2 linked regions of the Daphnia pulex genome follow. The protein of the gene in region 1 binds, or shares a complex with, the protein of each later gene. Links are inferred from orthologs where the notes say so. Each region holds a gene or a part of one and is shown in the gene's direction. Other genes may lie near its edges.

The links.
Region 2: the proteins of microprocessor complex subunit DGCR8-like (region 1) and enhancer of rudimentary homolog are in contact, whole or in part, in a crystal structure (PDB 7CNC), measured with the Homo sapiens proteins. The link is inferred for Daphnia pulex from reciprocal best matches to the Homo sapiens genes DGCR8 and ERH. Residues at the interface, in NP_073557.3 of Homo sapiens: Lys107, Phe108, Ser109, Pro110, Asp111, Leu112, Leu114, Leu115; in NP_004441.1 of Homo sapiens: Val8, Pro10, Thr11, Thr18, Tyr19, Ala20, Glu27, Lys34, Met35, His39, Arg42, Met43, Phe60, Leu64.

The regions. Positions count from the first base shown.
Region 1 is NC_060024.1:13,485,194-13,489,672, reverse strand, and holds the start of microprocessor complex subunit DGCR8-like, read left to right. Parts: upstream 1-1,489; 5' UTR 1,490-1,903; coding exon 1,904-2,180; intron 2,181-2,245; coding exon 2,246-2,365; intron 2,366-2,439; coding exon 2,440-2,582; intron 2,583-2,645; coding exon 2,646-2,908; intron 2,909-2,973; coding exon 2,974-3,258; intron 3,259-3,324; coding exon 3,325-3,440; intron 3,441-3,510; coding exon 3,511-3,716; intron 3,717-3,780; coding exon 3,781-3,884; intron 3,885-3,946; coding exon 3,947-4,103; intron 4,104-4,178; coding exon 4,179-4,373; intron 4,374-4,401; exon of another isoform or gene 4,402-4,479. Other genes in the region: RNA-binding protein 1-like, read right to left, coding at 521-664, 729-937.
Region 2 is NC_060018.1:8,869,702-8,872,566, reverse strand, and holds enhancer of rudimentary homolog, read left to right. Parts: upstream 1-1,512; 5' UTR 1,513-1,613; coding exon 1,614-1,616; intron 1,617-1,695; coding exon 1,696-1,904; intron 1,905-2,047; coding exon 2,048-2,147; 3' UTR 2,148-2,261; downstream 2,262-2,865. Other genes in the region: transmembrane protein 267-like, read right to left, coding at 377-715, 778-1,074; probable ATP-dependent RNA helicase DDX28, read left to right, coding at 2,734-2,865. UniProt on the Homo sapiens protein: May have a role in the cell cycle.

The DNA.
Region 1 (4,479 bases):
GTGTGATATTTCTGTTCCCCTCGCGAAAATCAAGAGCTGATCGACGTGGTAGATTTCTCTACCCGCCCGCGTCCACAGAGCCTGGAGGTAGCTGGTGTGTGGGTGTGGTTGGATGGATGGATGGACGAAAGCTGGCTATGCTCTGTTTCATTTTGCTCCGCCAAGAAAAAAGAATGGCGGCGCTTGAGGACGGCGCTGAGCTGAGCTGATTGAGCTGAGTTGGTGGACGACAAGGGGAGAGACTTGTGGTTGTTGGCAGGCAAACATGTGCCGCAGCAGTTAACCAGAAACAAAGAGGGGGTATGTTATTTTTTTTTTTTTTTTTCAACCAAATACTACGGCTGTATGGATGGGGTAGTGGGGTAGTAAATCAAATGAAAAAATCCTGTGAAAGCAATAGGTTTTGATTTAAATAAGCAGCTCCGATATATATATATATAAAATTTGATATTTAATAATCAATTTGATTGAAATTCAAAAGTAAAAAAAAAAAGTTAGAATTTATTATTTTTAACCGTACCTTCCGCGGAAATCGGCACCGCCACGGGGCCCTCCGCGGCGATCACCTCCGCGATCACCACCACCACCTCCTCCTCTGGGTCCATTCCTCTCTCTGGCTCTGCCAGAAGACATCTCCACCCTCACACGAGAACCACAAATCCTCCTACGAGAAGTCAATAATTAATTTTACATAATTAATTACCATTGTATGTAATTTGGTTTCTTACGATCCATCCATGGCTCTAACTGCATCTTCAGCATCTCTGGGATCCTCATACTCAACAAATGCAAAGCCAGGGGGATTTCGGGCAACCCAAACATTTTTCAAGGCTCCATATTTGCTGAATGAAGCTTCCAAGTCACCTCTGGCTGTGTTATTGCCCAGATTGCCAACATAGACTTTGCATTTCAAATCCCATTCACGATGACGCGACATTCTAAAGAGGAAATGAAAATTTTGATGTTGAAATCTGGGTTTGAAAATAACTATGCTCGATTAACCGCCATCTTGCTTGGCTAGCCCGACCAAAGGCATCACCAAAAACATAAAAAGCATCTCTAATGAAATGCACAGAAAAACAATTGCATACACAAAAATGAACTAACAAACAACAATAAAGAAGAATGTTGTGACTACCTTTCTTGTTCCGGAATTTTGAATGTATTTTCTTTAGCAAATTTGGTTTCAGTATCGTTTTCAACGAGATGCTAGATTAAGAGTAACCTGAAGCGGAGTGAAAACTGACTACGTCATAAAGCTGTCAACAAAATGGAAAATCAGCGCTGCCATGCGGCAACAAAATCAACAAAAACATTTTTGCAAAAGACAAAAAAGTATGATTTTAAGTTTGTATTTGGAATATTGTGCAATTTTTAATCAAGGATATTTTTATCAGATTTATATTAGAATTTTTTATTACAATTAGATCGTCTTTAGATGGCGTTGTAGACGAGGCAACAACAGATTGATTTTCGAAAAAAGTTCGTCTGCTAAGCCATATTTTTTTAGAAATCTTTTACAAACAAACTCGAGTTATTCATCCTTTGACGATTCTATTGAATCAAATTATTATTTTGATTTGAAGTTTTGAACTAATATTGGCATTCTACTTTAAAACTATAGTTGCTAATATAAATCCAATTATATACAAATAAAAGCGGTTCTTCATCCGTCACGTCGAAATACGATAGCACTATATCATTGCTTTGCCAAGTTTGAGGAAAATCTTCCCGAATGCTATTGATGTGTGTTCGATTTTGATTTTCTCAGAAGACAAGGCCTATGATGTAGATGCTCATTCTTCCATTTACACATTGTAATTCATAGATATTAAGACCAGTTAACTTTATTTGTGGATTTCCAATTCCACACCTTATCTTAAGTTTGGTTTCTACTCTGTGCATGACAGAATTTGAAATGGAAGAGATGAAAGATATTTTGGAAGGTTCTCAACTAGTGGATGATATTGATCCCGAAGAAGATGACGCAGATGGACTGTACAAAGATTTCAGTAATATGAGAGAGTTTCATGTATTAGATGAAATAGTTGAAAGCAACGCTAATGATGACGATGAGTGTAAGGAAAATTCAGAGAGTGATTTCAGCAGTTCCAATGAAGCAGACAGTGAAGAAGATTTTGATATACAACAAGATGAAATTGATGCTATGTTGGAAGAAGGTAACTTTACAAACTATATGACATTTGTTGTGGATATTTTTTACCTGTAACTTGTAACTTTTAAGGTTTACCAGAAGAAATGAAATCTAGGAAAAAGTTCAAAAAATCAGATGGTTCTTCCAAGCCATCTGGTAATGGGGATGCAAGTATGGCATATGAAGAAAAAGAAAAAATTGTTCTTGAAGGTAACACTTTCAGGTTATTCCTTAAAAACATTTAATTTAAAAAAGTTTTTTAATTTTTATTTTGTGTTTTTAAGAAAAGGGTAAGAACCATTTCGAAGTTTTGCCTGAAAATTGGGTCCAAGTTACACACAACAGTGGAATGCCTATCTACCTTCACAAACCTACACGGGTTTGCACCCTTGCTAAGCCTTACTTCCTTGGACCTGGAAGTGCCAGAGTAATTTTTAAATTAAACATTACTTTTTTGTTTCTATTTAAACTCCCGAGTTCCGATCTTTAGAAACATGCAGTGCCAATTAGCGCCGTACCTTGCCTACATTACCAAAGAGCCAAGGAGAAAGAAGAACAGAAATCCGAAGAGCTATTAGAGGCCTCAGCTAACACTGCAGCAGATGGTACTGCTCATGTTGCCCCTGATATCCCCTGTGCTCGGATCGAATCAGTCCAAGAGAATCAGGCAGCACATTCTCTCAATGGAGTTCAGCTGCGCGAATACTGCTCCAAACGATTTGATTTTAAAACCGTCCGCCTTATGCGATTTAAGTGAGTAATTTGCTTAAATCTTATTAATACCTACTCATTCATTCATCGTTAAAAAATTCATACAGAACATGGGCAGCTAGGAGAAAGCACACCAAACTGCGGAAACAACGACAGATTTACCCCCAATCTGGTCTTTCCTTGAATGAGGATAAGAAACAAGTGATTGGCTCAAGCCAAAGCCCTGTTGAGGATGACGATGCTAAATTGTCACAGACGGCTGAACTGGGTCGACCAACTTTACCTAAAGGGACCAAACTTATAACCTTCCCTATCGGACATTCCATTCCGGCAACACACAACGATCCGACCTCCCAAAGCGAAGGACAAGGTGCTGCTGGTGGAGCTAATGGGTAAGTAAACATTATATATTGAAGGCTTCAATTGTGATAACAATTTCTTGTTTGTAAATCTCACAGTGGATCGCGACGGGAATGGATTATGAATCCGGCAGGGAAAAGTTACGTTTGCATCCTCCATGAATACGTTCAACATGCCCTTAAGAAGCAACCTGCCTATACATTTAAAGAAATTGGTATATTCGACTGCCCATAATGCAACGATTTTTGTTTTCATTGTTTTATCGGGTAATTTTTGTTCGACAGAGAATGCAGCAACGCCTTATAGTGCTACGGTATTGATTAATGGAATGCAGTACGGTACTGGGGTCGGTTCGAGTAAGAAAGCCGCCAAGGCGGAAGCAGCGAAAGCGACACTAGAAGTTCTTATTCCACAGATGAAGGAAAAAATATTGGACGAGGCGGAACCAGGTCACAAGGGACCAAATCATCAGTCTGACTTAGATCTATCCGTACGTTGCATTTAATTTTGCTATTAGATGCATTGAATGGTGTTACTTACCGTTTATTGTAAAGCAGTTTTTCAACGAAATTCGAATAGAAGACCCTCGCGTTGCCGAACTGTGTGCAAAAACGAGCGAACCATCCCCTTACGCAATCCTCCTCACATGCCTTCAAAGGTGATTCAACAGTTTTTCTCTTTAGCGTATTGAACGATTTTCAATAATTATGAATGTTGCAGAAACTTTGGTTTAGGCGATAAGAACGTCAAGTACGAGCTCAAAACATTGAAACATCAGAAAAACGAAGTAATAATGACGGTTGGAAAGCATACAGTTCAAGTACCATGCAAGAATAAAAGAGATGGAAAGCAAAGAGCAGCCCAGGCCATATTGCAGGTGAATTGTAATCAACTTGAACATCAGTTTCAGATTTTTAAATTTTGCGATTTGTTTTTCTTCATCTGGGAGAAGGCGCTGCATCCTCACATTTCTAGTTGGGGTTCATTGCTTCGTCTTTATGGTTCACATTCGCTTAAAACAGTAAAAGAGAAGAAACAAGAAGAACAGCAAATCACTCTACTCCAAAGCAAAGCAGCTGTCAACGCGCCCAATTACGCCATTCTGAACAAGCTTAGACAAGAAATGTTGAAGTTACGACAGATGAGGGTACGCAACGGCAGCTGTGATAGGGATATTTGTTGGAACAGAAAATTTATTTACATTAAATTTATTGGATACATGGCACTTTTTCATTGAAGTTTTCTGTTTATAG
Region 2 (2,865 bases), on another chromosome or scaffold:
CATTCATTTATAATTAGTTCACTGACGGCATGCTGACGCAGTGACATTAAATCTAAGAACGACGCACGTATAAACCTTTAAAATAATAACAAAGACAACCATGAACCATCGTATTAATGGATCGCGTCACCGATCAAATTTAACAGACCACGAAATCACTAGATTAGTAGATTCGTTCGTAGCTTATTAATGTTCTATGCGTGCAGTTACTTCATTGCACAAAACCTGCTTTTAACAATCCAAAACAAATGGTAGATAATAAATTTATATTTTTTGCTTATTAACTGTAACCACTAAGTGCTGTAGTAGAAGAGAAACACAAAAACAAGACATTCTGCATTAACTTATCAAGATCAGTAAATGGGGAAGCTGAAATTTATATTAAAAATATCGGTGCTACGTGTTTTACGTTCGATTTTGTGACTATGTCAGTGATAAACTTCAAGCCAAATTGCAAACCTATAGGCAAAACTATAAGGCCGATGAGGTAAACAAAGTATGAATAAGGTGGAGTGGAACCAATTGGGCAGATCCAAATTCCATGTCTGTATCCATCCCTCCAATGATGAGTCCAAGTAGCAGTAACAATAATTACAGACATTTTGAGAAGACAGATGGAATGAATTCTGATGGAAAGTAAGGCCAATAGTAGAGCAACAACTGTAAACAGACTTGTGCAATGTAAAACTGGTCTGTGAGGCAGAGATGTAGCTTCCTGTAGAAAATGGGATTTACTCAGATTAAAAAACTTAAACTGGAATTTGTATGAATATTTACTTCAAGACTGGTAGTTCCAACAGCCAAAAAATGATCAATATCAATTGCAGAAGCCATTGATCCACATATAATAATGGCAACAAAATTAATTCTTTTATTGAATGACACATTGTCTACATAATTCCACGAAAGTGATGCTATAAGGAAATGAGTGGCACTATCAGTTATGCATTTAAGTAGTAACGATATGTAGGGGTACATGTACTGGGTGATAGTATCCCCAGCTATAGCTGTAACTGGTATTACAAAAAGGTTAATCCTTTTATAATGCTTCATTTTCTTCATTTTACTCTTCATTTTTCCCGACACAAAATTTAACGGAATTCTTATGGAAAACTGGTTGCCATATCAATTAAGTTTAAACAAAAATTACGTCTCACTTTAAGGCATAATATATACAGATAGCAAAGCAAATTGGGCACTTCTGTTTACGATTTCCCGATTTAATTTTTCTTTATTAATAATGGTTAGAGACGGTATATTATATTTGTTTTGCTGGTTTGTTTTGAAAAGACGGGAAGTTGCCATATTGCCCCTAAAGGCTAAATTATACTATCTTTATTTTATTCGTAAAATAATTTTGATACATGTCAATTTAAACTTCTTTAAAAATTGTAATTATTTTAATTAAATTTTTGGAAGTTAGATATTAACGATTTCTGACTTTATATCTTTTTATTTGTTTCTGACTTCATTGCGCGATTGCATCTATTTTGAAATTATGCAACGTTTTAACAATAGGCTTCTCCAAAAAACTGCACTGAAAGTTTTCCGAGAAAACAAACCTGGATGCGAATTTAAAGATTTTAAAACAACGTTCCAAGACAGAAACAAAAATGGTTAGTTAATTTGAAACAAAAACGCTTCCTGCTGTTGGAATTGATAAGTTAATGTATTTTTCCTATACCACATTTTTAGTCTCACACGATCTTACTAGTCCAGCCCGGACCCAAGCCGGAGACGAGAACGTATTCTGATTATGAATCAGTAAACGAATGTATGGAAGGTGTTTGTAAAATCTACGAAGAGCATTTAAAAAGACTGAATCCAAACACTCCTAGCATCACATATGATATCAGCCAATTGTTTGACTTCATTGATCAGTTGACCGATCTCTCCTGCCTAGTGTAAGGGCTCATTTTATATTATTGAAAAGACACCTTTTGAATTAATGATTAACCCTTAAAAAAATATAATTTTCAATTATTTATTTCATTTCATTGATTTAAATTCTTAAAGGGAACTAATTCCATGTTTATTTTTATTTCAGGTACCAGAAGATCAGCAATACTTATGCTCCATACAATAAGGACTGGATTAAAGAAAAAATCTACATTTTGTTGAGACGTCAAGCAGCTAAAGCTCCTTAATGGGAAATTTCATTCATCTTTCCGTTTATACTTCTGTTTTTCTCTTAACCCCGAAATTGTGACGTTCAATAAAATGTTTCTGACAAAGAGGCAGAACAATCTTAAAACTGTAAATGTGTTGGAAATTGCAATGATTAATTTTATTTCTCCAACTTGTTTTGAAACAGGTTAAACCTCTTTTATCACATTTTATAATATTAAGCTAAGGCCTAAGGCACGGATATGCGTCATTCGGACGTCATTTTCGTCATTCAGTCTAAGGGTCTAAATAAATGAATGTCGCAAATCCTACCAAGTACAAGTAAATAAATATGTTAATTGTTTTTTTTATTTGTATGATGATGTTTTGTTGAACTTTATTACTTAGGCAGAGATCATTTAAAGGGGATGTCCATGAAATAATTCTCTAGAAACAGTGAAACTTACATGGAAGACCATCTAGAAAGCTTAAAGAGAGTAATGAAACATCTGTTGTGTCGGCTGCAATGGTGTGTGCTGTACATGTGTGCATCGTGCATCCAGCTTATTTATAGGTATAAAATTGAGCAAGTTTAATTTACTTCCTATAAGAAGCAACCAATTCAACATGGAACGATTTCTCGTAATGAAGTCGCTGAAATTATTTAGTCGTGCAATATCGACAGTTTCAAAACCAGAGACAATCACAATGCCAAGAAAATGGCACAAAAAAATGGTAAAAGATTTAAACGAAAGACAA